2 linked regions of the Notamacropus eugenii genome follow. The protein of the gene in region 2 purifies or fractionates together with the protein of the main gene of each other region. This does not show direct contact. Links are inferred from orthologs where the notes say so. Each region holds a gene or a part of one and is shown on either strand. Other genes may lie near its edges. The genes, in order: NCK1 and WAS.

Region 1 (15,925 bases), on a different chromosome or scaffold from region 2:
TGAGTGAAGTGAGCAGAACCAAGACAACACTGTACAGTAACAGCAACACTGTGCAATGACCAACTTTGCTGGAGTTAGCTCTTTTCTGCAACACAATGATCTAAGACAATTCCAAAAGACTCATGACTAACGTGGAAATATGTCTAATAGGATCATACATGTATAGCCTATATCAGATTGCATGCTGTCTGGGAGGAGGTAAGGAAGGAAGGAGAAAAAAATTTGGAATTCGAAATCTTATAAAAGTTAATGTTCAAAACTATCTTTCCATGTAATCGAAAAAAAATAAAAGACTATTAAATGGGGAAAATTTTTTTTAATTTAAGAAAAAAAGATTCATGTTTGAAACCTGGCTTTTCAATTCACTACCTATGTGACCATGGACAAGTCATTTAACCTCTCTGGGTCTCGGTTTCGTCACCTGTAAAACAAGAAGATTGTTCCCTAAGGTCCCTTAGCTCTACATCTATGATCCTATGAATACTACAGAATTATAATGACCAAGCTGGACCCCAAAGAAGAGACATGAGGTGGTGACAACTTCCTCTTTACTTTCCAGAGGAGAAGGAATATGGGTATGGAGCACTTCTATATGTCACACTTTAGGTTGAATTGTTGAACTGCTTTCCTCTCCTTTATTCTTTGCAATAAGGGTGGCTGTCTGGAAGGAAGTATGATCAGGGATATATTGGGAAATATAGTGACATTAAAAAATATATCAATGAAAGTATCTAAGAAAAAAAATTATCCCCTCTACAACAAGTGTTCATCGAGCATTTGCTTTTAAGATCTCTAGCGAAGGGAAACGCAGTATCATACCTCCTGAGGCAAACCATCCTACTTCTATAATTCTAATGGGAAAATTTTCTATTACATCCAGTAGAAATCTACTTCTGTGCAACCCTTGCCCCTCCATCACTCCTGCAACACTGGAGCAACACTGGACAAGCAAAACAAGCCAAATTCCTCTTCTCTACGAAAGTCTTTCTCCATGCTAAGAATACCTAGTTCCTTCAAACTATCTTCTCACTGACACTACACTAGTTGCTGTATTCTACATACTGTTCAGTTTATCAATATTCTTCCTAAAATGTGATGATCAGAACTGAACATATCCAGTTGGGGTCTGACTGGGGCAAAATACATGGAAACTATAAGTTTCTTTATAAATAGCATGTCTCTCAATGCAATCTAAGACTGAATTACATTTTTTTGGCAGCTATAACATACTTGAGCTATATTGGTTTTTCAGTACTCTAAAATCTCCAAACCTTTTTCAGATGGTCTCTTCCCTACAGGTGGGAACTCTTCAACTGGAAAGTAATTTTGTGTGCAAGGACCATCTCATCTTCATATTTGCATTCCCTGGGACTACTCCAGTTCTGTCAAGTGGTAGACATTTCATAAATGCTTATTAGCTTTTTCCTTCAAAAATAGCCAATTCAATCACAGTATCTCAGCCTTAGCTCAGGGTTTTGAAAATAGCAGATGCTTAACAAATGTTGGTTGAATTACCAAATTCTCATACAAGGTTGTGAAAAGAAAGGCACACTATATGCTTCTGACAGAGCTGTGAACTGGTCCAGTTATTCTAAAAAGCAACTTGGAATAAATTATTCTTATCTTTTGAGCAAGATATTCCACTATACACCAAGTAAATTTCTAACACATCAAAATATGTTCACCATTATTTTTTGCGGTATCAAAGAACTGAAAAGAAAGTAGATGTCCACCAGTGGGAGAATGACTAAACAGACAGTATATAAATGTATGGAATATTACTGTGCTCAAGGAAAGAGACATATAAGGAATACAGGAAAACATAGGAAGAAATTTACAAATTGATGCAAAATGAAGAGAACCAGAAAAACAATACACAAAATAGTGACAACAGCATACAGAAAACTATAAGAGTCTAAATGGAAGGACAACAAATTGAAACTGAATGCCCGTAATTGTAATGAAAAAGTCTGACCCAGAGAAGAGATTTGGGAATCTTTCATTTCTTTGAAGACTAGGGGTTTATGGGGTATGGACAACTACATACAATGTCAGGTTGAATGAAATATTTCTTGATAAGTTTTCATTTTTTTTCCTTTCTTTTTTACTCTGGAAGAGAGGCAGGGAAATAAAGTGATACAAAAACAAAGCATCCAACAGTTTTTTTTTTAAAGAAAAATTTTTCTGTTCCAAACACAGGTCATGGTGGCCCAAATAAGATACTATTTATAAAGTTATTAGCATGGTGCCTGACACATGGTAGATGCTAATTCCTTCTTCTCTTCCCCAATCCCACCAAGGTCTCCATCTCCCCTCAGGGCTGAAAAAAAAAGTGGGCCAACCCAGAAACCCGAGAAATTTAACTTAGAACAACAAAAAAAAACAAAACTATTTCATCCTTGGAAGACCTAAGTAGCATTACAAAGAAACCAGAGGCAAACTGTGAGCTTTCACAAACTAGAGCAGATTACCTTCCTTCAGAAGTGATTTCTTTTTAATCCAGAATGGGCAGAAAAATGAAATAGAAGACCTTTTCTAAGTCCCACAGATCCAAGAAAGTGTATTGTAACACTGATAAACCATCAATAGAGCTGGTAGACTTTTCAGAGATGGGCATGAAACAACTACGGAATAATCTGTGGCCAAGATGAACTAGGGGCTGTTAGGTGACACAGTGGATGGAGCAGAGGGCCTACAGTCAGGAAGACCTGAGTTCAAATTCGGCCTCAGACACTTGCTAGCTGTGTGACCCTAGGCAAGTCAATAAACTCTGTTCGCCTCAGTTTCCTCATCTATAAGATGAAGTGGAGAAGAAAATGGCAAACTACTTCAGTATCTTTGCCAAGAAAACCCCAAATGAGGTCACAAAGAGTTGGACAAGACTTAAAACAACTGAACATCATGGAACAAGATGAACTGCAACAGTTTCCTATCAATAAACTGATCTCATATTGAATAGTTACTATACACTAAGAGTTGTTGAGATATTTAATAGTGCTTATATGTAAATACAAAAATTTTCTTTGTGAATTGCCATACCTTTGAACTGCAGTCTTGTTAAAGATAGACACTTTGGGAAATCACATGAAAAACACTGGAGGAGGAGGAAAAGGAGGAGGAGGAGGAAAAGGAGGAAGAAGAGGAAGAGGAAGTCACCACAGTTCCATAATGTATTCTTTAGAAGTAATAATAAACAGAGGTTTACAGTTTGTAAAGATCTAGGTGCTTAAAAATGATTCAAAAATAAACTATTAATTAACAGGGTTTAGCACAGAGCCTGGCACAAAATAGGTACTTTATAAATGTTTGTTGTTTGACACTAAATTCAACAGAAAATTAATAAATTAAATAAAACTACTTGAGATTTTTTTCATATATGTTTCTATTCCTATCTTCTGCAAGGCCTTCTAGTTTTAGGATCATAAATCATAAATGGAGAGCTGGAAAGGGCTGTAGTTTTTTGGACAATGAAGTCTAAAAAATCAAAATAAATTCCCATAAGATAAGCAGATAGTAAGTGGTAGCTTCTGAATCGAATCCAGCTCCTCTTGTTTTCAATCCAGTGCACTGTTTCCACTGCAACATGCTGTTTTCGACTTTAGGCACCTATCATCTAGAGTTACCTAATATCAAGGTAGGGCTAAAAGTACAAAACCCCATCACTTTTAAATTATTCTTTTGAAAATGCTACTGTTTCTTTCAGGACTGCTTTGGTAGAGTTCTTAGTCTACCTAAGAACTAAATCATTTTTCCCAGTTCCTCTGAACTTTAGTCTACAACCCAGTTCTTGTTGCTAAGCTTAACTTTTATGTAAAGACACACACAAATCGCAATAGGTGCACCAAGAGCACCTATCAAATGACATTCCCAGTCTACGCTACCAATTAAAGCACATGCCTCCACCAATGAAGCTTTGTGGCACCATTTCAAAGACATACGCCTTCCACTAGTGATGGAAGTGATGGCTCGGGATCCCCCAACACAAGTGAACAAACAACAAAAAAGACTCGGGGAGAAGGAAAAGCCCGTTCTGAAGGTTCACAAGTCTCCATGAGGTGCCCAACTCCCTTCTACCGTAACAAACTTATGGGAGCTCCCCTATCATCCCTACCCTCACCTTTTCCCTTCTTTCTCAGGGTACTAAGCTATACTTCTGACTTTTAAACAGACGTACAACAGAACTTATCAAAATCTTCCCTCATCACACCTCCTTTCTTAAATCCTCAACAGCTGCCTTCAGAGCCTCGTGTTTCACTTACGTGCCAAGATGAAAAGTGTTAATCTGGGGTCTGTGACTCTAGCTGTCTCAAGAATGTGTTTCTAACTGTATTTAATATAACTCCGGTCTCCTCTGCAAATCCTGTGTTTTTCATGCATTTAAAAGGATTGTTCCGAGATGAGGTCCCAGCATGCTGATCCCAAAGGGGCTTACAAAAAGGGGAAGGACCCCTCACCTAGACATTGTCTTCGCTGTAGGAAAAGAAGCGGGGGCTCTCTGCTTTTTGGGGGGTCGGGGGGTGCTACGTTTTGTTTTTTCACTCTTTGCATCTCAGGCTCTTACCGCAGAACCCAGCCCTAAGTAACTGCTTGCTGACTGACTGACTGACTGACTGACTGACTTGCCTCCAGCCCCCGATGCTCCCAGACGGGCGGCGGCTGGGCACCACCGGCCGCCTGGACTGAGAGCGACCGATCCTGAGGGAGGGAGGGACAGACGAATGGATGAACAGTCGGACGGGGCGGGGGAGGCTGGCCAGGAGGAGCGTGCGGGGAGGGAGGGCCCGCAAGGAGACCACAGAGGGCGGGGGGAGGGGGAGGGAGGATGAGGCGAGGACGGGAGGGGGCGGGGAACGGCCGTCCGCCGTCCGGCCGGGAGACTGGCTGGGCCCCCAGCCCTGCCCTCCCCCCACCCGGGGCCAACCTCAGGGCAGCCGGGCTACCTGCCCGCGAGCCGGCCCCGCACTTACCCCGCAGGGCCGCCGCGGTCGCCGCTCAGCCGAGGAGCAGGAGGGAACGACGAGGAAGCCGCTGCCACCGCCGCGGCGGGGATGGGGGAAGGGGGAACGGCCGTTACCGGGCAGGAGGCCTCGGCGCCGCCGCGTAGCTCGGGCCCGAGAGGGAGGGGGAGGGGCACCTCGGAGAGAGGGAGGGAAGGAGGGAGGGAAGAAGAGCGCGCACGGGCGCGCGCACGGTGCCCACCGGCCCCCGCCTGCGGCAGCCTCGCTCCGATCCGTTGGGTCGGCTCCTCCTACTTCTCCCTAGCTCGGTACCCCGCCCCCCAGGAAACTCCCTCCTGGCCGCCGGTGATTGGCTCAAAGACGCTGACTCGAGGAGCGCTCCGAGAGCGGGAGGGGATTGGGCGTAGCTGTCCGTCAATCAAAGTCGCCGGGCACGCGCGCGCTGGGAGGGAACCCACCGGGTGGCTGGTGGCTGGGGCTTGGAGGGCCAGATGTCACTCGCTTGCCTTGTACCTTGCCTCGCGGTTGTCGGGGTGACCTTAAGAGCGCAAACCGAGCCAGGGCAGCAAGCCGCTTCTTCGTGGTGCCCTCGTTGGGTCTGCCCGTTCCTTTGGGCACCTAGCCGCCTCCTCCCCGGTAGTGGCACCGCTGACCTTGGCGGCTTCTATGGCAACTTCCCTTCCGGCTCGTGTCCGGGCTGGGCGGCCGCCGCAGCGCCGTCCGCGAGGCCCAGAGGCTGCAGCACCCTGGTTCTGGGACCTGGGAGGGTCCGGAAGGTCCAGTTGTTTGGTGGAAAGTATAGATCGCGGGGATGGAAATGGGAACCCATCTTCAATTGGGCCGGAGCAGGCGGGCACCCTCCTCCCCCCGATCTCGTGGGCCAGACCAGCCACAAAGACGCGAACCCAAACCATGAGGCTGCGGTCCGGGGAGCTTTACTTCTCATTACCTCCGATCTAAACAGCCACTTCCTTTCTGGCTTACAAAAGAAAAAAAGAGTCGGGGGGGGAAGACAAAGCCATGACACTCACCTGACAAGTTAAAAAGCCGTCGGTGACTTGGGCATTGTCTCCTCTCGGTGTCTCACCTGGCACCTGTTGGGGGGGTTTCCACATCGTCTCCCACAGTCCTGGCTCGCATCCACTTCTTCAAATTCAGTGGATACCACTGCCTGGGAGACAGTACCGCACTAAAGGCACATGTTGAAGGGATTTAGCCAGAAGGGCCTTAGAAATCATCTTCGCCAGCCCTTTTCATTTTCTAAGTGAAGAAACTAAAACCTAGGAGGTTAAATAAGGCACCCAGGTATCTGATCCTGAGTCAAGTTGATGAGCATTTACTAGAGGTCAACTGTGTGTGCTAGGCACTGTGCGAAGGGCTGACAGTCATCTGACTTCCTCTCTGTCTGATAATTGCCAAGATTTAAACCTACATCCCTTGGAATCTTGTAGTTCCTCCACCCCACATCAGCCCTCACAGAAGCAACTAGGAAAGAGATTAATCCTGCTAAAGTCTGGTTTCAATTTATCTCTAAGCTTGTTCTTTCTTGATTTTCTTTATTTTGCCCCCATCTCTTTTTCGGCACCCACACTGGAATGAGACCAGAAGGGCAAAGAAAAAGGGGGAGGGAGGGGAGAGATGGCAAAGCAAAGGGGAAAGCAAAAAAAGGAGATAAGGAGTTATGTAATGAATACCTTCACTGGAAATGTGTAATACTTGAAAGTATTACAACTATTCTGGGGTAAAGACCTCTCTAGAGTATTCCCTTCCTCACCGATGAAGCTTAATTATCTTTTGTTGGTACTTTTCCCTTCTCATATTCTTCTTAAGCGTGTTCTGTATTCACAATATATCAGAATCTTCTTCCCTAGTCAAGAATAGTGCCATTTGGGTTAGGAAGTAAGGGCTGTCTAGAGAGTCAGAGTGGTTGGAATCCCAGCTAAAGAGAAGCTTTGTAGAGTTGTAGGCAATGGATCATAAATCTAGACCTCAGAAGGTGCCTCAGAGGGCCAGCGAGTCTAATATCCCCATTTTACAGATCAGAAAACTGAGGACCAGGGAGGGTAAGTTATTTGACCAAAATCACGTAGACAGTCCAAAAGCATTTATTAAGCATTTACTATGCCAGGTACTGTGCTAAGTCCTGGGGATATATAGAAAGAAAAAAAAATGCCCTCAATGAGTATATATTCTAATGAGAAAGACAACATGTAAATAACTAGGTACATGAAAGATATAGAAAGAGATGAAGATGAGCTGAAAAGGGAAAACATCAGTGGCTGGGGAGTTGGGGGAGAAGGTCAGGAAAGTCCCTCACAAGGTAAAATTTGAGCTCAGTCTTTAAGGAAGTCAGAACTACACTTTAGAAAAATTACCCTAGCAGATGAGTGAAACTAAAATGGGGAGGTACTTGAGACAAGGAGACCAACCAGAAAGCTATTGTAACCCAGGTGTAAAGTGATATGATCCTACATCAGGATGAAAATTCTGTGAGAAGAAAGAAGATAACATGTACTGTAAGTGTAGAAGCAACAAGATTGGCAGTGTATTTGGATTTGAGGAATGAATGAGATCAATGTGTTGAGAATGGCCAAAAGGCTATAGGATAGATGGGATGAGGTCCATTGCTATCCATAAGCGGCAGGAGTTAGGAAGGTACAAAACGATTCCTCCTGATTTCTCCCTGCCTTGAATTACATAGTACATTTGACCTTTTTATTCAGAGGTGGGGCCACTGATGACAGTTGCTAGTAGCCAATTAGGACTAAATAAAGGAGTCTCAATATACACCAAAATATTTATTGCATCACTGTTTACAAAGAACTGGAAGCAAAGTCATCGAATGCGAAATGACTAACAAATCATAGAAGATAAGTATAATGGAATCTTACTATTTCATAAGAAATAGGAATATGATGACTACAAAGAAGCAAGGAAAGCTGTTATACAGAGTAAAGTAAGCATAGCCAAGAAAACAATATACACAGTAACTACAACAATGTAGATGAAAAGAAAAACCACCACAAAATAACTGAAAATGAGTGTTGTGAAATTACAAAGAACAAGCATGGTCCCAAAGAAAGAGACATAAAACATTTCCTTCAATTCCTTTGATGAAATAGAAAGTCCACAGGTGTAGAACCTAGCATATATTTTCAGACCTTTTCAATGTATTATTCAGTTTTGCTAATTGCTTCTTTTATATCTTTTGTTGTATGGGATGGCTCTCTAGGAGAGGCTAGGGAAGGATGCTAGAAGAAATTTAGGAGATATAAAAACAAAGATATATTAAAAAGAGAGATGTGGGTAAGCGGAAGTAACTGAAGGAACTAAGTGTTCTAGGAAAACAATGAGGATGGGTGAATTTTGTGGAACTAAGGCCCTCCCTTACCTGATGTTCTTAAAACCCTATGATGAAGTAGAGAGTAGCCTAGCAATAATAAATTTAAATCCTATGTTTTGTAATATTACATTTTAATGGATTTTGTACCAATTAATTTCAGTTGTAAATTTTTAACATTTGAAAACACTATAATATTTATTTTATGTGGTATAATACAACAGGTATATATATATATATATATATATATATATATATATATATATACATATCTATAGCCATTTTAAAAAAAAAGATGCCCCTCCTACCTAGTGTCCTTTTCCTCCTCTTCTTTTGACTGTCATATTTCTCCAAAAGTTGTCTGCTGTTTCTATTTCTTCCGTCATCTATTCATTCCAAAACCCATCAAGGTAATGAAAAGAATACTGGACTTAAATTTAGGCAACACACTTTCAAAGTCTAGTTCTAACATGTTACATGATTGTGAATTCAACCTCTCAGAGCCTCAGTTTCCCCATCCATATAGTAGGGATAATAATTCAATTATTAACCCTCACAGAATTGTCTTGAAGAAAGTTCTATCCAGGTGTAATTATTACCTTCTGCCCTCAACATTCTGCTCTAACTAATCTCTCAAAGGTCATCAATGATCTCCTAAATGTTATATCTAATGACCTTTGATCAGGCCTCAAACCCAGTTTAAGCTTCAACAGTCAGCAAAACTCTCCTCCTACTATCCTATTTTTCTTCTTTCTGCAAGGTTGGAATAGGCTCCCTGCTCTCCTCTGCATTATAGAACTTAGCCATGCTCATTGTTTCAGTTATAACTTCTATGTAAATGGCTCCCCAAAAGAGGTTTCTAGGCCTGACCTCTCCTCTAAACTACATGAGTTTCTCGCCATCACCTCAAGTTCAAGACTGCTTTGCTCATGGTAGGCATATGCTTAATAAATGTTTGTTGAATTGAACTGAAAATGAATTTATCATTTTTCCCCAAAAATTCCATTCCAAATCTTCCCTACTCTTATCAATAATACCATCATTTTTTCTCTCATGAAGACTTGGAACCTCTCTCTTGTCACATATATCCAACTAAGCACTTAAGTCCTGTGATTTTTTCCTGCCTAATGTCTCAAAAAAAAAAATAACTCATTCATATAAGTTTATATAAGATTTACAGAGCACTTTTCCTACAATAATCCTATGAAGTAGGTAGTATACTTAATATTATCCCAGTTCTACAGATCAAGCTATGACACATAAAGTTTAAGTGATTTGTCCAAAGTTACATAGCTCGTCATAAGTGACAAGGAATTGGAATCCATGGATCTCTAGGTCTTAAGTTCAGTTCTTTCCTGTCTTTTTCATACTTTATCATAGAAGCATAAGGTCATAGATTTAGAGATGATAGGGAGGACCTTAGAGGTCCTCTCATTTTTACGGTTGAGAATACTGAGACCTAGAGGAGTCAAATAACTTTCTTGAGGTCACACAAACACTAAGTTGCAGAGCTAGAATTGGAACTCAGTTCTTCTGACTCTAAATTGTCCCACTTCTGAATTATATTAATAGTCATCCTAGCTAATTTATAATCACAGAATTATAGAACTGGATAGTAAGCTATGAAATAATGTATTATGATCTCTTCACTTCACAGATGAAGAAGCTAAAGTTCAGAGAGCCTATAATGGTCAAATGTCCCAACTAGTTAACCTTAAATCAAGGACCAGAACTCAGCTTGTCTGACTCCATCCCAAGTTTCTTCCATCATATGAAGTTATTGCTTTAATGAATATGTTTTGTTTCCCAAAGAAGACTATTGACCCCTTAAACACAGAGCCACACTTCTCTTATTCTTGCTTGTAGACTTCATAATACCTAGCATGGCTCAATAAATAAATAAATATTGTCAAATTGATATCTATTTGATCAGCATTTGTTGAGTGATTAAATAAATGGACTCTTTAAAAGTTCATAAATTAAATTTTTTGAACATACAATTTAACTTGAGTAGTAAAGACATCTATTCAGAAGAAATCTGTGGTGGATCCCTCTGTTGGTGTTGCTCAGTCATTTCAGTTGAGTCCAACTCTTCGTGAACCCCACTTGGGGTTTTCTTAGCAATGATACTAGAGTGATTTGCCATTTCTTTTTCCAGCTCATTTTATAGATGAGGAACTGAGGCAAACAGAGTTAAGTGACTTACCCAGAATCACACAACTAATAAATGTCTAAGGTTGAATTCCAACTCAGGAAGCTGAATCTTCCCCACTCTAGGCTCTACACTCTATGCACTGTATCACCTTTCTGCCTAGTGATTCCCTTTATAGAGTGAACAATCCTTTTGTAAACTTCAGATATTTTACACATTCAGATTTTAGTATTAGAAGAATGATACTTAAAGCAAGACCTCTGCATTCCTTTCCCTACTGGCTCAGACTCCAAAGGGTGAGAAAATCAATAAGCATGTATTAGTTAAAAGTGTCTTTAATATACCTCATTCAGAAGAATGTTGAGTTTGTTGTTTTATATTTTTATTTATTTAAAGGTCCAAGGAAGGAATGAGTTTTCAAAATTAGGGGGAGAGGGGGGGCACAGATATCATCTATCTTAACCCCTTCATTTTACAGATACAGAAGCTGAGTCCCAGAGAGATTGTAACATATCAAAGAAGTAACCAGTTGGCATAAGTACCCAACTCTCTTGACTCCCAGTTCATTGAGTTTTCTATGACCTCATTCTGCCTCTGTGAACTCAATTGTCAACTGAAAGTTGAAATGAGCAGAATTTGAATATCTGAAATAAAGCATTATTATGGCAAGTCAGACAACCCATTAATTATTGTAGAATAAAGTACACCTCTGCATTCTCATTTCATTTTCAAAAAGTCAACTATGGGCTGAAATTTAGTTGTAAGGTTTCTACTATTATTGATTTATCCTACCCATGCAAATCCAATAGACAACCATGTTTTAAAGGAATTAATAAGAGTAGAGAACAAATGTATTATGACACATTAATATACACCTTTGAGACTTTTTGGTTCCCCTGAGGAAAATCTTTAGATAACATGCCACATTAATTTACTCCTTTGCCATTTCCACTGCGGGCACCTCTGCCAGTAGCTTGGAGCACTCCTTCTGTTGCAAGGTAAGAGGGCAGTAGCCAGGAGAGATTTGTAAACCAGTGAAGCTAAATGGAAAAGAACACTGCATTAGCAATAGGATGGTGCATCAGATCCACAAAGTCTGAGGAAAAACTCAAGTATGCTCCACCTCCACTACTCATGGCAACCCTGATAAAGGAAAGACCAGGTTTTTGCTGTGATGTTTACTTACTATAACCAAAGTTGAGTCAGTGAAAAAGCCTTCCTTCTCCTACCTTTTGACCCCAACCACACTACCTCAGTTCCCCACTTTGCTACTGCCAACTTCCAATGTAATAATGCAGATCAGGTTTTATAATTAGAATCTCTTTTTATAGACAGGTTTTCCAGAATGTACACTGTGCATGTGAAGGGATTCAGGTTTAATGTTGAAATAACTATAGCTAGGAAAAGTGTCATAATACCATTTAAGTTTCTTTAATTTATAAATTTCAATAACTTAAATTTTCTTAAAAGGGAAAATTTTTATTAGTGCAGAAATTGATAACTAAGGCTAGCATATTTTTCTATCAGTTATCCCTTAAATAATTAAATAGATATTTTTAAGAGACCAAAGTTCACAGTATTTCATATATTTAATATTTGCATTTATGTGTTAGACTAATATAAATCTTTCTACATTTGCATATTTTTCCTCTTTTTATACCTATATATTATATAGAACTCTGTCCATTATACAACACAAAAAACATTGATACATGAATACAACATGGCAGTGCACATAATTGAACATGATTCAGAAAATGAAAATTGAGTCTCATTTAATGGGAGAATCTAGTATCTCTTGATAGTCCTCCCTTTTTAACTTTCTCCAATAAAGTTTATAACCAGCAAGGACAAAAACACTAATCATGATGATTGCCCCTCCAAAGACATCATAAACACTGGGGATAATATGTAGCACTAGAAGCTGTAAGATCATTGCCACCACAATCTCAAGGTGTTGTACTGTGCTAACCAGAGCTGGATGGAATTTATCTAATGCATAATAAACTCCCAGGAAAGCTGCAGTAGAACAGATGCATATGGCAATGAGATATCCCCAAGTTTCTCCATCTAATGGGATGATGGGTTCTTGAAGAATGAACATAGTGGATACTCCCCAGACTGTCCCAGTCCAACCAAAGGTAAATAAGGCAGTCCACATACTGATCTTCTCCCTGATGGACCTGTATACTATCATGGAAAGAGCAGTGGTCAGTCCTGCCATTACTGTCATGGTGTACCCAAATGCTTCTTTCCAGGCATTCAGCAAAGAGTTTTCTTCATCAACAATGTTGGGGATCATGACAAGGCAAACACCCAAGATACTGCTGACAACTGTAGCCATATCAATGTAAGCCATTCGTTCATCTACCAGCAAAAAAGCTAAAATAGCACTAAATACAGTGGTTGTTGCTCTCCACATAGTGGTTCCATTGCTGGGAGGAACTATTGAGAAAGATGTATAAGCACAGGTGATAGAGATGACATTGCATACCCCATAGAAAAAGAGTCGCAGTCTATATCCTCTGGGTCCAAAAGGAGACTCTTGGTAGTAACACACAACCAACACAGAAAATACTTGTAAGACAGATCGGATGAAAATCAGTTCTAGAGATGGCACTTTGGAACGGTCAGAAACAAGTCTAGTGATAAGGGCCACACATCCATGAGCCAAAGCAGATCCAAACAACACTATCCAAGTCTTTCTAGACTGAAAAATATTTCTTTCTGCAAAGCTCTGGAATTGTTCAATCTCATTGACCTTTGGGTCTTCAGTTGGTGGGGTTCGACTATCCATGGTCCCAAAGAAAGTTCTTCCTTTTCTTTTCACCTCACTCAGAAGTCCTTTCTTTGGATTTTCCTCCATAAAACTTCCATAATCTTCATTTATTTCTTCATATCCACTATCTCCTGGTTGGGGGTAATGAGAAGTATATTGTACCATCACTGTGTTGGGGTGTATTTTCACACGTTTTTTTACAGGATATTTTTTGGAAGGAGAAGTATCCATGTCTTCAGATAAATGTGTCTACACTTGAATAAAAAAAGAAAAAAATAGATTTACACTTTTGCTCAGTTGCAAATTTAATCAATATGACACCTACATATCAATTCATTGGTAGAGAAATAGCTCTTATAGAAGAAATGAACTGGCAGTAGTAGAATTGCGTAAAAGTCTCTAGCTAAAGTTGCCTTTAAGAACCATGAACCCCATGGAATGAGCCACCCATTTTCCTCCACCTATCTTAGTTGTCTCCTATAGTGTCCTTTAGCACTGTAGATCTTTCTTTCTTTACATTAATAATTCTGGTCTACCTTCAAACCTTACTTGTCTAATCATTTCCTTACTAGAAATTATTCTCATTCAAAATTCTAGTCTTACCTTAGCTGTCCTCCCCCCCACCCACCCTGCAAGGAAAATAAGTTTTAAAAATAGCAAATTATATCAAACCTTTTCTTTTTGCTGTTGGGTCATTTATGTCTATATTATATATTCCAAATGTCCAGTCACTCTGTCATTACTTCATGAAAACATTGAATATACCAGGATTATACTTAGGATATCCATAAAGAAATCTTACACCTGTGAATGTTGAATAACTAATTATGATATTTGTATGCCTAGTTCCCCCTAGTAGATTCTACTTAGTTCACTGGATTACGGTGACATGATCAGACTCATGCTCTAGGAATATTACATTGGTAGCAACGTGGAATATGGATTTGGAAAATATACAAGTTGTATCCCTCCTTTAGAATGTAAAGTCTTAAGGCCCAAGTCTTCTTCTTTTTGTTTCATTTTGTTTTATAATTTGTATTCCCATTGCCTAGCACAATGCCTTGTAAGAATATTTAAGAACCAATTAATTAATCAATTAGTAAAAGATTTCAGACTAAGTGCCAAAAGTCCTTGCAAAACAATTAGATAAACACAATATGTTTAGATTTGCTGAGGAAACCTGCCTGCTAAGTCAACACTTAATAAACAAATAATTTTTTTAAATAGAATTGTACTATGTGTGAAGCATTGTGAAGAACAATCAAAAACAATGAAAGCTTCTGTAGTATATTCCATTGAAATGTTTTATATGTGATCTGGAGTGTCCCATTATTCATTACATATTTTATTATTCATTATTCATATATATTGTCTTATTGGATTGTTGTTAATTATAAGAATTATAAAAAAGCTGGGAAGAACTGACCTAGGAAGCAGTGTGATACAGTGGAAAGACAAGGATGCTAACTCAGGAGTCAGAGGCCATTAGTCCCTTCAAATTCCATCCCAAATGCTGACTACCTATGTGACCCTGAGCTTCAGGTTTCTCATCTATAAAATTAAGATGTTGATGTTGGATGAAAAGGCTTCTGAGTTCCCGTCTAGTTCTACAACTGTGATCTTACTATCATTCAAATCTAAATTCTAAATTCAAATCATTCAAATTCAAACTGCTGTGAGTCTAAGTGATACTTCTAATTTGGAATTGCTTTTATTTTATTTATTTTTTATTTCAAATAGACTAATAGGATTTAAAACTGGAAAAGACCTTTGTGTCCATTTAGTCCAATCTTTCATTTGACTAATGAGGAAGATGATGCTCAGAAAATTAAATGACTTGCCTAAGGTCACACAAGTAGCAGAGTTAGTATTGAACTTCATGTCAGTCAACAAGCATTTATTAAGTGTTTGCTATCTGCCAAACAGTGTACTAAGTTCTAGGGATACAAAGAAAAGCAAAAAAACAAGATTTTGAAGATTAGTGACAGAGTGAAGATAAAAGAGAGAGTCATGTGATGGAATAGGATCAAGGGTGCATGGAGAGATAGAAGAGTCACCTCTTCATGAAAGACAGAGGGGAAGGAAGAGATCATGAAGAAAAACATCTGAATGGTATGAGATGAGGAGAAGAGAAGAAAAAGAAACTTTTGGCAAATTATCTCAGTTGTTCTAAAGAGCAAAAAGCAAAAAGGGAACTTTTCATCTGGAAATCTGTTTAACTTTATAATAATAATTTAAAAGAGGATCTTTCTGAGGCTTCTTCTTGGTGACACTCTGCAAGAGAATGACACAAAGGAAACCAGCCAAGGGAGAAAAAATTGTTTAACATCCTATTGGGAATGCTAGAGTATGGCTTGGACTGTCCATGTACCTTAACCAAACCTTAATCAAATCAAACCATCCCAGCCCATTCTTTTCAGTGTACCTAATCCAATACTCTTTTGTTACCCATACTCTTTAAGTAACCATATCCTGTTACCTCAGGATTTCTTCTGCTCCCTCCCCACTCCAACATTCTGCCCTTCACTGGAAAACTTTCATCAGCCCATTCTTCTCATCAGATACTTTAGGCATTAAACTAAACTAAACCATCCTAACTCTCATTCTTTTCATACCCTTAGTGCACTCTCCCCCCATTTCCCTCTATCATCCCCCTGCCTCTTTTCATTGTGCCCTATAGAACCCACACTACAATA
Region 2 (15,573 bases):
GGGGGCGTGCCATGCCAAGACCTTCATGACCCCTCAGGATGCTGCGGCCCTTCTTGGTCTCTGCTTCTGCCTCTGTTGGGATGAGCCCTGCCCAAGTGCCTCACTTCTGCCTCTGTCCTTGATGGGGCGGTTCGAGGGGGCTTTCCGAGAACGTGTCATCTTGCTTTCCTCAGTGGGCATGAACAGTATAGTCATCAATTCATTCATCAAATGTTTGGGAGACAGCATTGTCTACTGGAAAGAGTGCTGAGTTCAAATGCAGAGTTTTCTTCTTACAACCTAAGTAACCCTAATGTTTCTCTTCTTTGGGCCTCAGTTTCTTTATCTGTAAAATGAGGGATTGGAGTAGATCTCCCCCCTTCTTTCCACCTCCAGATGAGGGATCCTGTGTGACTTTTGGACAATATTGTCTGCAGCCATGTTCAGGAGCTGCTAGGCTGTCACACTATGGACGCAGCAGAGACCTAAAGACCTGAATTCAAACACTTCTTAAAGGCGTAGCCCAGGCAAATCACTCTACCTCCGCCTGCCTTAGTTTCCACAACTGTAAGATGGGGGCAATGGAGATCCCTCCCTCCCAGGGTTGCTGGGAGAGTCAAGCGAAGTACTTGTTGTAAAGGGTGTTGTGAACCTTCACTAGGTCCCCGGCACCGGCCGCCCCAAAGCAAGGTTCTGCTCTGCTGCAATGGCAGAGCTCAGAGAGTCTGCGCCATTGCTATGGAGATGAAGTTTGTGTCTCCTGGGAGGCCCTGGAGATTTCCAGGGTTTCCTCTGCGTTCTCTCTCTCTCTCATTTCTTGAACAAGTTTGCTTAGAGCAACACAAGTCAGTAAGGCCTCCAAGTTTAGGACCCAGATCTGAAGGTGCCTGTGTTGCATCTCCTAATTGGCCCCATGAACTTGATTGCTTTTTTTTACTTTGGAGGAATTCAGGGACAAGCTCCTCCTGACTGCAAGGCTGCTAATGTATCCACCCTCCAGCTGCCCTCCCATTAATTTAAAAAAAAAGTTTAAAACTACCTGCCTTAGAGGAGAGTAAACAAAAGGAGCCCAATGCATTTAGGGTTCGGTTAGGGCATGTTTCTTTGACCAAAAGCAGGTCTCCCAACATGCATCTGAAAAGGCGTTCCGTGGACAATGGTGTCAGAACAACATTGTACATTCCTTAAAAACCTGCTTTAACTTTTAATCTAAACTTCTACTAGAACCACCTTGAGAAAAGCTGTTCTCAACCTCACTCATCTTGGTTATTACTTTTGAGATGAACATTTGTCTGTGTTCAAGTGCTGGAGACTGACGGCTGGTATTGCAGAACTGTTCAGCAAGGACAAAAAGTTGACCAAGAGTCAGAGACCACACTCCCTCTTGTTCTAGCCATGCCCTTCACTGGAGTAGGTGTCGTTTGATTGAAATTCACAGTGATGTTTCTGGAATATCAGTGATCCGAGTCTAACCCTAACCTCTCCCTGCTTGGAACACTGAGGTCCTCTCTGTAACCCAGCTCCACCGGTTCAACCTCCATGACTGAATTTGTTTGGCAAACTTGCTTCTGTAGCTACATAGTGTCTATTATTAACAGAGTACAGGGACTTCCAGGAGCCAAGATAATGGAGTAAGAAGGAAATTGCCTGAATTCTCCCAAATTCATCTCCAAACAACTACAAATAGTGTCTTGAAATGAATTCCAGAACAGCAGAAACAACAATCGGGTGAAAGAATTTTCTAGGCCAAGATAACTTGGAAGGTTGGCAGGAAAAGGGAAGCAGACTTCAGGGTAGGCCCCAGGGCAGGTCAGTGACCAAGGCCCCAATATGGCAGCAAACAAGTAGCCAACCCCTCCCCCACATGTAGGCCCCCACCTCCTGCCCCATCCCAGTAAAATACCAGGCAAGTGGCCAGACCCACCTCCCTCACAGCAGCCCTGAGGCAGCACCAGGTGAGCAGCCAGTCTCCCCCCACCTCCACGGACTAAGCTCAGCACCAGATTCCCTATGGCACCTTCAAAACACCAGGTAAGCAGCCTGGGCTTATAACCCCCACCATAAGAAACTTGGGACAGCATCCCACCCCAAGAGCAGAGCTTAACTTTAAAAGTAGTCAAATGGGCTGGAAAGGATAAGAATGGAAAAAAAACACCTGACCATAGAAAGTTATTGTGATGACAGGGAAGATCAAGACACAAACTCAGAAGAGGATAATATCAAAACACCTACATGCAAAGCCTCAAACAAACAAACAAAAAATGTGAATTGGTCTCAGATCCAAAAAGAACTCCTGGAAGAGCTGAAAAAGGGTTTTGAAAATCAAATAAGAGAGGTAGATGAAAAATTAGAAAAAGAAATGAAAGTGATGCAAGAAAATCATGAAAAAAAGAGTCAACAGATTAAAGAAAGCCCCCCAAAATAGAAAAAGATGCATAAAAATTACCTAAAGAAAAAAACAACTCCTTAAAAAGTAGAATTAGCCAAATGGAAAAGGAGGTTAAACAGCTAACTGAAGAAGATAACTCCTTAAAAATTAGAACGGGACAAGTAGAAGCTAATGACTCCATGAGACATCAAGAATCAATCAAACAAAATCAAAAGAATGGGAAAATAGAAGAAAATGTAAAATATCTCGTTGGAAAAATAACTGATCCGGAAAAGAGATCCAGGAGAGATCATTTAAGAATTATTGGACTACCTGAAAGCCATGATTGAAAAAAAAAAGGCCTGTACATCATACTTTTAGAAATTATCAAAGAAAAGTACCCTGATATCCTGGAACCAGAAGGTTAAATAGACATTGAGACAATCCATCAGTCACCTCCTGAAAGAAATCCCAAAACGAAAACTCCCAGATAAGCCAAATTCTAGAATTTCCAGGTCAAGGAAAAAATATTGCAAGCAGCGAGAGAAATAAAAGAACAATATAAATCTCATGAAGGCCCAGTCAAGATTACACAGGATTTAGCAGCTTCTACGTTAAAGGATCAGAGAGCATGGAATATGATCTTCCAGAAGGCAAAGGAGCTGAGATTACAATCAAGAAACACCTACCCAGTGAAACTGAGCATAATCTGTCAGGGGAAAAAATGGTAACCCAAGGAAATACAGGACTTCCAAGCTTTCCTGGTGAAAGACCAGAGCTGAGTAAAAAAAAAAAAAAAAAGACTGAAAAGCAGAATGAGAAGGTAAAAAGGAAAGAGAAAACATCAGAAATTCAAAGAGGCTGAACTGTTGGTGTCCCAACACAGGAAGATGATCCTTGTGATTCTTAAGAACTTTTCAGATCATGACGCAACAAAAATTCCAATCACTAAAGGGCAGCAGAAAGATGGATCCTAAAGAATGAACAGGTCAGAGAGCACATCACTGGAACAATTGCTCATTTCGTCAGAGAGTGAAAACAGTGAGACAACACACCCAAATTTGTGGCATACAGGCGCAGCAGAATTTAGGGGGAAATTTATTTCTCTAAACTCTTCCATTATTATCACATTCTGGGACAGGCAGCAGGGGACAGGCAGCAGGGGGCGGGCAGCAGGGGGCAGTTTTTGGCCAGGCCAGTGATTCCTTAATCTTCCCATTCATCTTCCTCGTCCTCCTCACCCCCCTGGTCCTCCCCTTCATCTGTGAGTGAACAAGGGTGCAGAATAAGTGAGTGAAGAGGGCCAGAGTCCCATGATCACACACAGCCCCCCCACCCAACCAACCACCATGCTCCAGCACTTGGGAAGAGGGGAAGGCTGGGGATTATTTCACCTCTCACCTGAAGAGTGGATAACTTTGCTCCGCTTTTGCATGACATGCATGAGGGCCCCCACCAGCCCCTCAGAGCTTGGGGGTGGGGGAGCTGGGAACTCCTGGGCCCCTGGTGTCTGCAAAGAGGGTAGACCCAGTGAAAATCTCAAATTCAGCACACCAGGCTGAAGCATATTCACCCCCATCCCAGCCTTTTGCATTCCCATCTTGGCCTTCTGTCCATCTTTCATGTTCTTTCCCTTTGCCTCAGTACCACCGCCAGGATCCCCCAATAGCCTCTTCCCAATCCTGATCCAAAGATCCCTAATCCAGCGATTCTCACCCCCTCCAAGCCCCCACCTTGTTGAGCTGAATGCCTTGTCTGATCTCTTCAAGCAGGGCTCCCCGACCTCTAGGGCCTACAGGCCCCCCAGATGAAGGTGCAGATGGTGGAGGTGGTGGTGGTGGTGGTGGAGGTGGTGGGGGCCCTGCTCCAGAGGTTGGTGGCAGCAGCTGTGGGGGTGCTGGAAGCCCCAAGTGGGAGGCAGGTGGTGGTGGAGGTGGGGGACCCCCCCGGCCAGGAGGAGGTGGGGGTCCCCGTGGAACTGGGGGAGGTCCACTAGGGATCCCACCTGGCCCAGAGGGCACAGGGGGGAGGGGTCCTGACCGACCCCCCCGGCTTCCAACCACAGAAGAGCCAGGGGACCGCTGAGGGGGCCCAGCACGAGATGGGGGTGGAGGGGGTGGAACAGGGCCTACAGACACCAGAAGGGCAAGAATAGGGCAAAAGGTTAGAAGGCAGGGTACACAAATACATCCTCCTCCTCTAACCCTTCTCCCTGTACCCCTTCCCACCTCCAGATCTCCCTAGGAAGAACTAGCAGGGAAGGGCTGGAGCCTCTGGGCTCAAGATTTGGAAGTTTTCATGAAGGGTTAGAATCGGAGTACATTTAGGGTTAGGATTAGGGTTAGATGGGGTTTTTCCAGAGCCCTCAGCTGAAACTCTCAAAAGGTCAGGGGAGAGGTGCTCACCTTGTCGCCGCATCTCCTCTCTGACAGCCTCTAGCCCACCCTGGTCCTCAATGAAGTCATAAATGAGTTTGGAGGTCTCCGCATCAGTCAGCTGGGCCTCACTAATTCCAGCTCTGGAGAAGAGACTCCGTAGGTCGGGGTCCAAGTTGTTGACCTGTTGGAGGCAGGGTCACAGGTCCTACTCACCCTAAGGCCCAATCCTAAATCCCGGGGGAGGGCTTAGGGGGATCTAAGAGAAGGGACGTACATCAAATCCGCTGTGAGGGTCCCATCCAACATGGCTGACATGCCTGGAGAGGGCACAGGACAGAACTTCAGTGAAGGCATCTCCCGCTCCCCAGATTCCCATCACCCCAGCCCCAGTTCCACCCCTATGTCCATTTCAGCCTTTTGGAAGCCTCACCACTGTGGTGAGCAGCCCCTCCTTCTCCCCCAGCTCTTTCTCTGGGGCCTGGAGGCCAGCTCAGATCCCTATTGTCCTATGTGACCCTTCTCTTTGTCGTTCCCCTTGCAACCTGCTCCCCGCAAGGTCATCAATGACATGTCAAGCTTTTTCTTCGCCTCCTTCCTCCTTTTCCATGACATGGCCTGCCCATCGAAGGATACCTGAACCCATTTCCCCCAAAACTGGGGCAGCCCCAGAAGTCCTGGCCTGGACTCTCTTCTCCTTCCAAGATTGCCAGTATCACCTTGATGCCAGACTCCATCTCCAACTGCCTGAGTGTCTAAAGCTGAGCTCAAATCCAAGCCTTGCAATTCCTTCCAAGGCCACTGACAGCCTCCTAATTCCCCAGGCCCCTGGCTTTGAGAGGCTAACCCAGAGCCCTGAACCCTTCCCCAGGAGCCTCCCTGTACACTCTGCTCTCTGAGCTGTCCCCAGAGCTCATCCCCTGGAACCGCCCCCTGGAAAGTCTTTCGGGCTCTCTTCCTCCAATGGGCCCATGCTGATTACAGCAGATGCTTGCTGAGGGCAGGGTTTGGATAGCACCTGCTAAATCCTCCCTGGAGAGTTTGGGGGGGTGGGGGAAGGCCTCACTTGAACCCGCTGGGGGCCCCAATATCAGCCTTGCTGATCTTCTTTTTCCCTGAGCGTTTCTTGTCCGGGGGAGGAGTTGGAGCGGGGAGCCCCCGGTACCTTGAGGATGTAATGTCTGGGTTCTGTATGTCCACAGCAACCAGGCCCAAAGATGGGGAGCCCAGGGTACTAGCTGGGACTAGAGATGGAGGAGGACAAATTGGGGGAGATTGATTCAAGTGGGAAGGTCCAGACCCACAGCTGTGTGTTCCTGTCTGGCCCTTTCCCCTTGCTTACCACTGAGTTCTCCACTGGGTTGGGGAGGGAGGGGCGTAGTGCCCCCTCTTCTTTCTGTGCTGAGAGATCCTGTGGGGTGAAGACCACAGGTCATGACCTTTCCCTTGTCCAGCCTTTCCCCCAGCTCAGCACCCACCCCAAGAGGACATCATCTGGAGCACAGGGAGGAGAAAGGTGACATGCGTGCATGCATGTGTGTGTGCATGTGCGTGTGTGTGTGAGAGAGAGAGAACGAGAGAGAGACAGAGAGACAGAGAGACAGAGAATAAGAGTGAATGGGAGACAGAGACAGAAATTGAGACTGGAAAAAAGAGCGCGACATGTGGAGAGAGAAGGCCATGAGAAGGAACTGGAGAGACTTCCTCTCCTTTACTCATGGCCCTGACTCTCACCAGCATTCTGTTTCTGGCTTCGTTTCTGGATCTTCTCCTCCACCAAAGCTCGGAAGACTTGGGCTTCAGCCTCGTCGGCAAAGTTCAGACCAGCTTGGCAGTCCTGGGAATGGTCCCAATGCCCATATTCCCCCACCCCAAAGTGGTTAGCTCCACTTCTCAAGGTAGTGCCTCACCTACCATCAAACACCAGACCCCTAGATCCTCACCCCTGAATCATCCCAGCACCCACACCCCTTTGGCCAGTTACTCACATCACCGGGGAAGGTGTGGAAGAATGGGGTGGGGGCAGAGTAGACAAGCTGAGTGTAGATTTCCTGCTCCCAGAGGAGGCGTCCTTCCTGGGGAGGGGGTAAAAAGAAACTGAGAGAGTGACACAGAGCATGAGACCGACAGTTACAAAGAGACCTTGTTCTGGCCTGTACCTGGAGGCCATAGAAGCGGATGAAATAGGAACGACGAGGGTTGTCTTTCACAAAGCAAATGGCTCCACTCAGTTCCTTCTGCCAGCGCCCGCCAGTGCTGGGTAGTGCCAGGTACAGCTGGGCCACTGAGGTTGCCAGAGTCTGTCTCCAGGCAGCCCCCAAGACAAAGAGAGAGACCAGGTCAGTGGAGACTTGAAAGGGACCTGAGAACGTTGGGATTTAGCACGCCCGCCCCCTCCCGTTTCCTGAAGGAGGGTTCCCAGCAGAGCAGATAGAAGGGAGTGGGGGGCGGTGGTGATTCTCTGGATCCAGGGCTGACAAACACCAACCAAGCACTTTCGGCCCAGGAGGCCAAACAGCCTCTGGTTCTCATGATCCTGCAGAAGACCGGAGGGAACATTCTGTTGGTGTTGCGGTGGCCCTCCCCGATTCCCTCGGCTCATGGCAGCAGCCCTTTCTTGCCTTCCTCCTCGCCTGGTCTTCCCAAGTAGCCCCAGTGACGGGGTAAGAAGGGGAACTTCCGCACCCAGTGAACAGGAAGCCAAGAAAACCACACTGCCCCAAGCCCAACCCATGGGCTCCTGGGGCCCCTGGCCTGGCCTGGTCCTCCCTCCTGATTTTGTTCTCACTTTGTCTCCCCTTTCTCTCTGCAGCCCTCTTATCTCTCACCTTGTGTCTTCCTTGGTCTGTGTGCTCATGCTCTTTCCCCATCTCTGCCTTAACAAGGAAAACACGATGTTCTTGGAATAGGTCCCATGGGAGAAAGACCTAGGTTTCTTGTCTGTTTCCACTTTCAATGAATGGGTGTTGTCTCACCCTAAGTGAGTACCTGCAAAGACCTTGGCCTAAAGGGCCCAAGGTCTCCCAGTGCATCCTGGGTCATCTCCAGTCATCCTGAGAAATATCAGGTCACTGGATTCAGGTGGCTCTGGAGGAGAAGTGAAGCTGGTGACCTCACACAGCCCTCCCTCACTCAAAACAAAGTCAAGTGCAAGTCATGCCATCATCTCTCTGATGGCTCGATCTTCTCCAACAATGAAGGACGATCACAACAAAAACCTTCTACTTGCTAGATCAAGATAGATCAGTGAGCTTGGATTCCTGATCAAATTCATTGTTGTTGTTTCAGTCATGCCTGACTCTTTGTGACCCCATCTGAGGTTTTCTTGCCAAAGATCCCAGAGGGGTTTGACATTTCCTTCTCCCGCTCATTTTACAGATGAGGAAACTGAGGCAAACAGGGTTAAGGTTTTTGCCCAGGTTCACACAGTTAGGAAGTGTCTGAGGCTGGATTTGAACTCTGAAAATGACTCTTCCTAACTCCAGGTCCAGGGCTCTCTCCACTGCAGTGCCACCTAGTGGTCCCAGCCAAATTCAAGAATGCATTCATAAAGGGAGGGTTGTTAACTTCAAGAAAAAGCAGCAGTGGTCACTATGAAGAATTAGTGTGGCTTCCTCAACATCAGTAACGGGTCATGTTGGACTGAGCCCACTTCCCCTCCTGACCAGTCTACTGGCAGACTGGCAGACCATAGACAGGTGGGTGTCCAGGCCAGGGAGATGTGCAGGAGTTGAGTCAGTTAGATATGGAATTAGCAGGATCTCTAAAAGAGTCACTATTTGTTCTAATTTCAACTTGGAAGGTCTGCAGTGGAGTGCCTCAGGGATCTATGCTTGGTCCTGTCCTGTTGAATATTTGTGGACACACACACCAGGTATTTAGCAAATTTGCAAAAGACACCAAGCAGAGGGAAAGCTGCTGACACTCTGAGCAAAGCTTTAGAAAGATCTTGGGTTAGAGTGACGACACTGGACCTCGGATGGGAGAGACCCAGTTGGACAGAGAACCAGCAAAGGAATATGTGGGGGACAGGGCTGGAAACTCACTTACTAGAAATCCTCTGTGTGTGTGTGTGTGTATGCATGCGCGTGTGCATGCGCATGTGCACACACACACGTATGGTATGGGGCATGGTGTCTGTGATGTTGTATATGTGTGTGCATACGTGTATGTTATGCAGTGTGGTATCTGTGATGTTGTGTATGTGTGTATATATGCACACATGTGTATGGTATGGGCTGTGATATCCAGGATATGGTATGTGGGGAAAGGGATGGTAGCTGTGATGGTTCAGACCCAAAACCATAAGAACCATATTTCAGAAAGGACCCTGACTGGCCAAGAGCCTGGAGTCTACGCCATCCTAGAGAATCAAGGGGCCAGGGGACATGAGAATTGGGCTTCTTGAGGATTCTAAATGACTTAGGGCCCAGAAGCCAAAAGCAGAGCCAGGAGCAGCCACTGGGGGCATTTCCTCCAACCCAGGGCTGTTCCAAGTGACCTGGAAGGCCTGCAGGCAGAGGATTCTGGGAATGAGGAAGTTTGCCACACGGATCCTTTCCCATACATCTCGGTCCTCTGAGACACAACCACACAACAGCCAGGATCCTCAAATTCTCTTTATTCTTTGCATTTTCTCAAACATGAAGCCAACAGGTCAATTCCCCCCCCCCATCAGAGGAAGGGGTCCACAGATACCAGGCCTGGGGTCTGCCCCTCCAGGGCTGCTTCCTCCCAGGGACTTTGATCCCTGCAGGGAGAGGGAACCCAGCCCAGCCTGGCCCTTCCTCTGGAAGGCAGGCTGATTGTTCTCAGCCCCAGGAGGCCTCCTCCCCCCAATCCTGTCCCCCCTACCGCCCAAACACACAAACACTCAGGGTCTCTTGCATCTCCCCACACATGTCTGCCAGCACATGGTGGTCCCGAGGTGGGGGAGGTTCCAGCTGGGCTTCTGGGTCAGTGGCCTGCCCCCTTGCTCTGGCCTGTCACAGCCCAGTCAGTGAAGATGAAACCCAAGCTCATGGCCATGATTACCATGCCCAGAGACGCGAAGGTGGCTGCCTGTGGGGGCAGGAAGGAGAGCTAAAGGACTGAGCGCCATCTCACGCTCTTCCCATCTTCCCCTGGGCCTCGGCTCTCATCCTCCTCCCGCCTCCCACCCGCTGCCTCTCCTTCCTGATCCCTGCTCTTTGATAGGTACTTCTGCCCCCACACCTGGATCTTAGGGCGAGAAGCCAAGGGCTCATGGTCCCTTGGGATGATTCGGATGTAGAAAATGCTGGGAAGGATGAAGATGAGACTGGGGGCTGAAGTGGCTCCTGGGAGGAAGGAAAGGCAATCATGGTAGCCCTCTGGGAGCACCAGTTGGGAGGGGTGGGGGAAAGAGGGGAGACTGACCAATGACTCCAAAGATGTCCCGGATGTTGGGCACAAATATGACAAGAACGTTGACCAAGGTGAGGAGCCCAAGGGCGATGGTGCCATGTCGGGCCCAGCTGAAGGCCTTGGTTGGGAACAGGAGCTGCTGGATAGCTCGGCGGATCTAGAGGCAGGAAGATAACGCAGAAGTCAAGGAGGGCCACAGGAGCCTGACCCTATTCTCTGCCCTCCCTGCCCAGACACACACCCACCGGGAAGAGGACAACAGGGACGGTGAGGGTGACAGCCATGAGCACAGCTAGTCTCACACAAAGGATCAGCAAGTCTGTCTGACTGTACATATGTAGCATCTCTGCCTCCACGTGGCCTGGGAAGGTGGGCAAAAACACACACACATGTGTGTACATGTGCACGAGTATGTGCATGCACATGCACACACACACACACAGACGTCAACCCAGGGTAGGAAGCCAGCCACCACCTGCAAGCCTCCCCACTTCCCTTGGCCCTGAGTCCAGGTCTCAGCCTCCCTCCTTCTCTCACCAAAGAAGGAGAGGTAACCAAAAGTTGCTGTCAGTCCATACATAAGAAACATTGCCCCGATGGACATGTTAGCCACAGCCTGCATCCGGCGCTGTGATGGCCTGGGGACAGAGAAAGGTCATGTGTCTGCATTCCTCTGAAGCTTCATCTGGTCCCCCCATCCATTCTGTTGCCCTGGCTCCTCAATCCCCAGTGTCCAGGTCCCATCATCATCCCAAGCCTTGGCCTGACTTCCCCAGCATGCAACTCTGGCATCCCTCTGTACCTGCGCAGCTCAGTGTAAATCGGGAGGACTTCCGGATGGCACACAAAAGCAAAGGCCAGAATGGGGATGGTGTAAGCTGTCTGGGGGGAGATCTGGGTTGGAACCAGTAGGGCAGGCATGATGTCCCTCCTGTGACTTTTCCCTGAATGGGCTCCCCCAACTCTGTTCTGTCCCCTTATTGGGGGTGTCTGGTCTTCTTGGAACTGGGCAGATGCCAAGAAGGACTTTCCCCAGCCTCTTTTTCAACCCCAGTTTGGTCCTCCCTAGAATGGGGGTGGGGATGATCTTCCAGGTGCCCAGCGCTGGGCCACCCAGCAGGCTGGGTGAGTAGCTAGGTGAGGGAGGGTGAGCAGGGAAGGCAGTCTGACCTGGGAGTTAATGGTGAAAAGCTGAACTTCACAGGTGGCATTGCGGCTCTTGAAAGTCTCCATGGTGCGGTTGACATCAGGCAAGGGGCACTTGATAGAGAATTTCTTATAGATCACCTGCAGGGGGTGGGAGCAGAGATAGATGGGGTGGGCTTCCTATCCCGAGGTCCCCCCTCCCCAATCTCAGAGGCCCTCAAAACTCACAGAGGCAAGGAAGAAGGCCATGCAGGTGAGGGAGAGGCCGCTGGTGTAGCCCAGGTACCCTGTGCAGGGGGAGGGTTAGATTTGGGGCCCTCAGAGCCAGTCCCTCTTCCTTCCCATCCCTTTCCATCCCCCAGAGAGCTTAGTTTCTCTTCTCTGACTCACCCAGGTGTCTCATGAGGGCCAGGGGCAGGATGATGCCAATGCTGACGAGGATGATGAGAACATTACCGTCCAGGAACCAGGGCCTGCAAAGGATATCAGGGGTGGGCAAGAGACAGGCTGGGAGGCTGAGGTAGCCTGAGGATCCCAGGCAGATGTCCTGATTCAGGCAGCACTCCCACAAAAACAAACCGAAACCCACACCTAGTCAGTCAGAGTCAGACAGACATTCGTTCTCCGTCACTGACACCCCTGGGCAAAACCCTCCCAGCTGAGCAGGCAGGCCAAAACAGCCAGTCAAATGACTGAAACAGATGGTCACTGAGTTCTGATGCAGAACAGCCAAATTGAGACAGGTGGCCCAGCACGACCAGTCAGGTCCATTGGGAAAAGGCTCCATAGCCCTGGGAGGTGGCCCAGAGTGGTAAAGCTTGCCTGGGGAGGTGGGGGCCTCCTCTTCTTTTGGTTGGGGCCCACTTGGTAGGGATATTGCAGAAAAGAAGCGTTGATCCAGCCTGGGCTGGTGGCTAGGCTTCCTAGAGACCCTACTCCCCGTGCTCTGCTGCCCCAGTCTCCCAGTCTGAGAGAAGAGTGGATGACAAGATGAAAATGAGTGCATAGGAGTGTTCCTGAGCAAGAAAGCCGGTCACTTGGAGGTGGCCAGACATCCTCATTGGGCCAGCTGGCCAGTCAGGCCAAAATAGCTGTTCACACACGGCCAAGACAGTCACAGCTTGACAGTGAAATCAGGACAGCTGGCTTGGCAAGAGCAGCTGGTGAGAAGCTCCCAGCTTGATAGCTGGAACAAGGCGAGTTGGTCACTCACCACTGGACAGAAAGCTTCATGTGACTCTGGACATTCGCAACTGAAAGCTGAGCTAAACCCGACTGCGGTGAGAACAAGACATCTCTGCACAGAACTGAGTTGGTTAGAGAGATCAGTAATGGGAAGTCCCGAGTGTGTGTGTGCATGCGTGTGCATGTGTGTGTGTGCATGTGCACATGTGTGTGTGCATGTGTGTGTGTGTGGGGAATGCTCACCTGGAGTCGGTAACCTGGGAGCCAAGGAAAGTCCCAATGACCAAGGGCAGCTCTGACTTAATGATGTACAGGTAACTGGCCATGGCTGAAAGGAGGGAGGGTTCAGTCTTGGGCCACATCAGCTCCACAAGCCTAGATCCCTCTCCCTGCCATCTCCGTGTCAACAGTTTGTATGGCCTCACCCCCAATGTTGTGCAGGCAGATGACTCCAGCTGCAGCTACTTTTCCAGATGTTCCAAAGGCCCTGCGCCCCAGCTCCTCGTATGCCCGGATTCCTGTAGAAGGGATTGGATTGGTGGGGATCAGGAGCTGAGGAGGACAGGATGGTCCAAGGGGCAGGCAGAGGAACAGAGGGGACATGTTTGTTTGACGGAGAGAGGGAAGAAGGAACTCACCAACAAAGCCAGCACATGTGAGCAGGAGGTGGATGGAGTAGGCTGAGAGGAGGGCCATGCACAACAGGAGGGCTCTGGGGGAGGCAGCAAATGGGGCTGGGCTCAGTGGGGAAACCCTCTGTGCATTGCCCAAAGACCCAACCTGCCCCCAGAACTCAAGGCTGGACTCACAGAAAGAACAGGATGCCTGTGTTGGCCATGGCGTAGGCCAGCCCTAGGATTCCACTCCCCATGATGGCATTGCTGAGGTTGAAGATTGACATGCCCAGAGAGGTCTTCCCTTCAAACTGCAGTGTGGGACAGGAAGAGAAACTGAGACCCAGAGGAGCTGAGATGGATGGGGAGAAGGTGAGCTTGGCAGAAAGGGGATTGGCTGGCCACTCACATCAGAGAACTGTACTGCCTTCTTCCCTGGGGGGGGCCGGGCCAGGAAGCCGGCTAGTTCAGCCTGGGATCTGGAGGGGGGACAGGGGATTGGCTGAGGATTTCTGGGTCGGGCCAAGTGGGCCTCCCCAGTCCCAGTGCATTACTTACTGCTCAGGCTCTGGGGGCCCCCTGGAGACCAAGCCATTTATCCTAGATTCCCCCATCATGAGTTCCATCCTGGAAGAGAGAGAGGCTGGGCCTAGGTAGGGGTTGGGATAGGGCTGGAGGACAGAAAGGAGCTCCCTGTACCTCTGCTCCCCCCTTTCAGAGGCAGGCTGTCCCCATCCCCAAGCTGTAGGCACATGATTCTGTCCATGTGTAAGGGAGTGTGTCTGGAAACACAAGGACTGATGCAACCTCCTGAGAGAGACTGAGACACAGCGCAAACTTCTCCAGAGCGGGGCCAGTTTCATTTTTCTTTCTAAGTTCTCAGCGCCTAGACTGGTATCTGACCTCGAGTAAGCATGTGGGAGGCAGGAGGTGGGAGGGGGCAGGGGGTGATCAGGGCCATCACAGATAGGGTGGGGGAGATGGAGGGGCATGGGGGTCGCGGATGGGGGGGCATGGGGGGGCAGGGCCATGGCTGGGGGGGCATGGGGGTCACGGATGAGGGGCCATGGCTGGGGGGGCCAGGGCCGTGGATGGGGGGCATGGGGGGACAGGGCCACAAATGGGGGGGAACAGCCCAGGCTGGCCAGAGCCCAGGGGCATCGGGCGGAGCTAGGAGCTGGGGCAGGCGGAAGATGCCCCGGCCCCCCGCCCGCCCGCCCGCCCGCCCGCTCCCCCTGGGCTCGCTCACCCTGGTTTCCCTCGGGATCCGAGGCCGAACCGTCTGGCCGATCGCTGGCGGGGCTCAGTGGCCGACTCCTCAGCCTCTCCCGCCTCCTCCCGCCAGGAGCCCAGGCCCCGCCCCCGGCCTCGGGCGCCCCGCCCCCGGCCCGGAGCCCGCGTTTTCTCTGGGGCAGCAAGCTGTTTCCCTCCTCTTTGGCATCCACGCCCCTCCTGTGATGGAGGGCACAAGTGTGGCAGTTCTGGGGGGCGCTGTTCTCTCCCGCCCCAAGCCTGGAGCCCCTTTGCCTCAAGGTCCTTGGTTAGGGCCCGAGCCCTCCCGGAAACCTCAGAGCCAAGTGGACAAGCTTTCCTTCTGGGGCACTGGCCACATAGATGCCCATGGCCACTCCACCACGGGACACACTTTCCAGAGCCATTTTCCCACACACCCTTGTGCCCACATGCTTTGGGGAATGATCATACCAACTGTGGCTCCCAGCTTTTCCAGAAGCCCTTGAAGCACAGCCCTCACGATGGGCCTTAAGGTATCAGGGAAAGAAACAGAATTGGTGTTGGCCTTCAGTGACCTCTCACAAACTTCCCATTTCACCATTTCCTGTGGCACAATAATATTCCAGGACATTCTCAGTCATTCCCCAATTGATGGGAAGCCCCTTCATTTGTCATATTTTTGCTACCATAAAAAAAATGCTGCTCTAAAGTTTTTGGCCCATCTGGCTCATTTTCCTTTCCATTCTTTGATCCCTTTGGAGCTTTGGCCTGGTAAATTGCTTTTGCTAAATCAAAAGGTATACACAATTTACTGACTTTCCAGAACAGCTGCACCAACTCATGTGTGCTCATCCTTCGTTGCCGAAGAAGACCATGGCATCAGAGAAATGATGACGTAACTTGCACTTGACTTTGTTTTGAGTGAGGGAGGGCTGGGCAGGTCACCAGCCTCACTTCTCCTCCAGAACCATCTGAATCCAGTGACCAGATATTCATCAGGATGACTGCAGATGACCCAGGATGAGGCAATGGGGGTTAAGTGACTTGCCCAAGGTTGCACAGCTAGTGTCAAGTGTCTCAGGTGAGATTTGAACCCAGGTTCTCCTGACTCCTGCACTGGTGCTCTAGCCACTGCACCACCTAGCTGCCCCACTTACTGGATGTGTGACCTTGAGCAAGTCACTTCACTGCTGTCTGCCTCAGTTTCCTCAACTGTAAAATAGGGATCATCTTACTACCAACCTCTGAGGGTGGTTGTGAGGATCACATGAGAAAATAATTTTGAAGC

The links.
Region 1: the proteins of WAS (region 2) and NCK1 purify together in Homo sapiens (affinity purification with western blotting; 4 studies listed by BioGRID and IntAct, with this or other methods). This does not show direct contact. The link is inferred for Notamacropus eugenii from reciprocal best matches to the Homo sapiens genes WAS and NCK1.

Annotation. Positions count from the first base shown.
Region 1 is NC_092876.1:330,761,059-330,776,983, forward strand, and holds the start of NCK1 (SH2/SH3 adapter protein NCK1), read right to left. Parts: upstream 6,288-15,925; 5' UTR 5,990-6,287; intron 5,259-5,989; exon of another isoform or gene 4,968-5,258; intron 1-4,967. Other genes in the region: SLC35G2 (solute carrier family 35 member G2), read right to left, coding at 12,222-13,460. UniProt on the Homo sapiens protein: Adapter protein which associates with tyrosine-phosphorylated growth factor receptors, such as KDR and PDGFRB, or their cellular substrates. Maintains low levels of EIF2S1 phosphorylation by promoting its dephosphorylation by PP1.
Region 2 is NC_092879.1:102,031,016-102,046,588, forward strand, and holds WAS (actin nucleation-promoting factor WAS), read right to left. Parts: upstream 7,386-15,573; 5' UTR 7,325-7,385; coding exon 7,211-7,324; intron 7,023-7,210; coding exon 6,882-7,022; intron 6,798-6,881; coding exon 6,711-6,797; intron 6,560-6,710; coding exon 6,457-6,559; intron 6,134-6,456; coding exon 6,065-6,133; intron 5,967-6,064; coding exon 5,789-5,966; intron 5,043-5,788; coding exon 5,000-5,042; intron 4,907-4,999; coding exon 4,753-4,906; intron 4,476-4,752; coding exon 4,081-4,475; intron 3,858-4,080; coding exon 3,749-3,857; intron 3,610-3,748; coding exon 3,554-3,609; 3' UTR 3,429-3,553; downstream 1-3,428. Other genes in the region: SLC38A5 (sodium-coupled neutral amino acid transporter 5), read right to left, coding at 9,679-9,783, 9,937-10,040, 10,120-10,264, 10,353-10,468, 10,645-10,745, 10,910-10,989, 11,278-11,394, 11,482-11,540 and 7 more. UniProt on the Homo sapiens protein: Effector protein for Rho-type GTPases that regulates actin filament reorganization via its interaction with the Arp2/3 complex. Important for efficient actin polymerization. Possible regulator of lymphocyte and platelet function.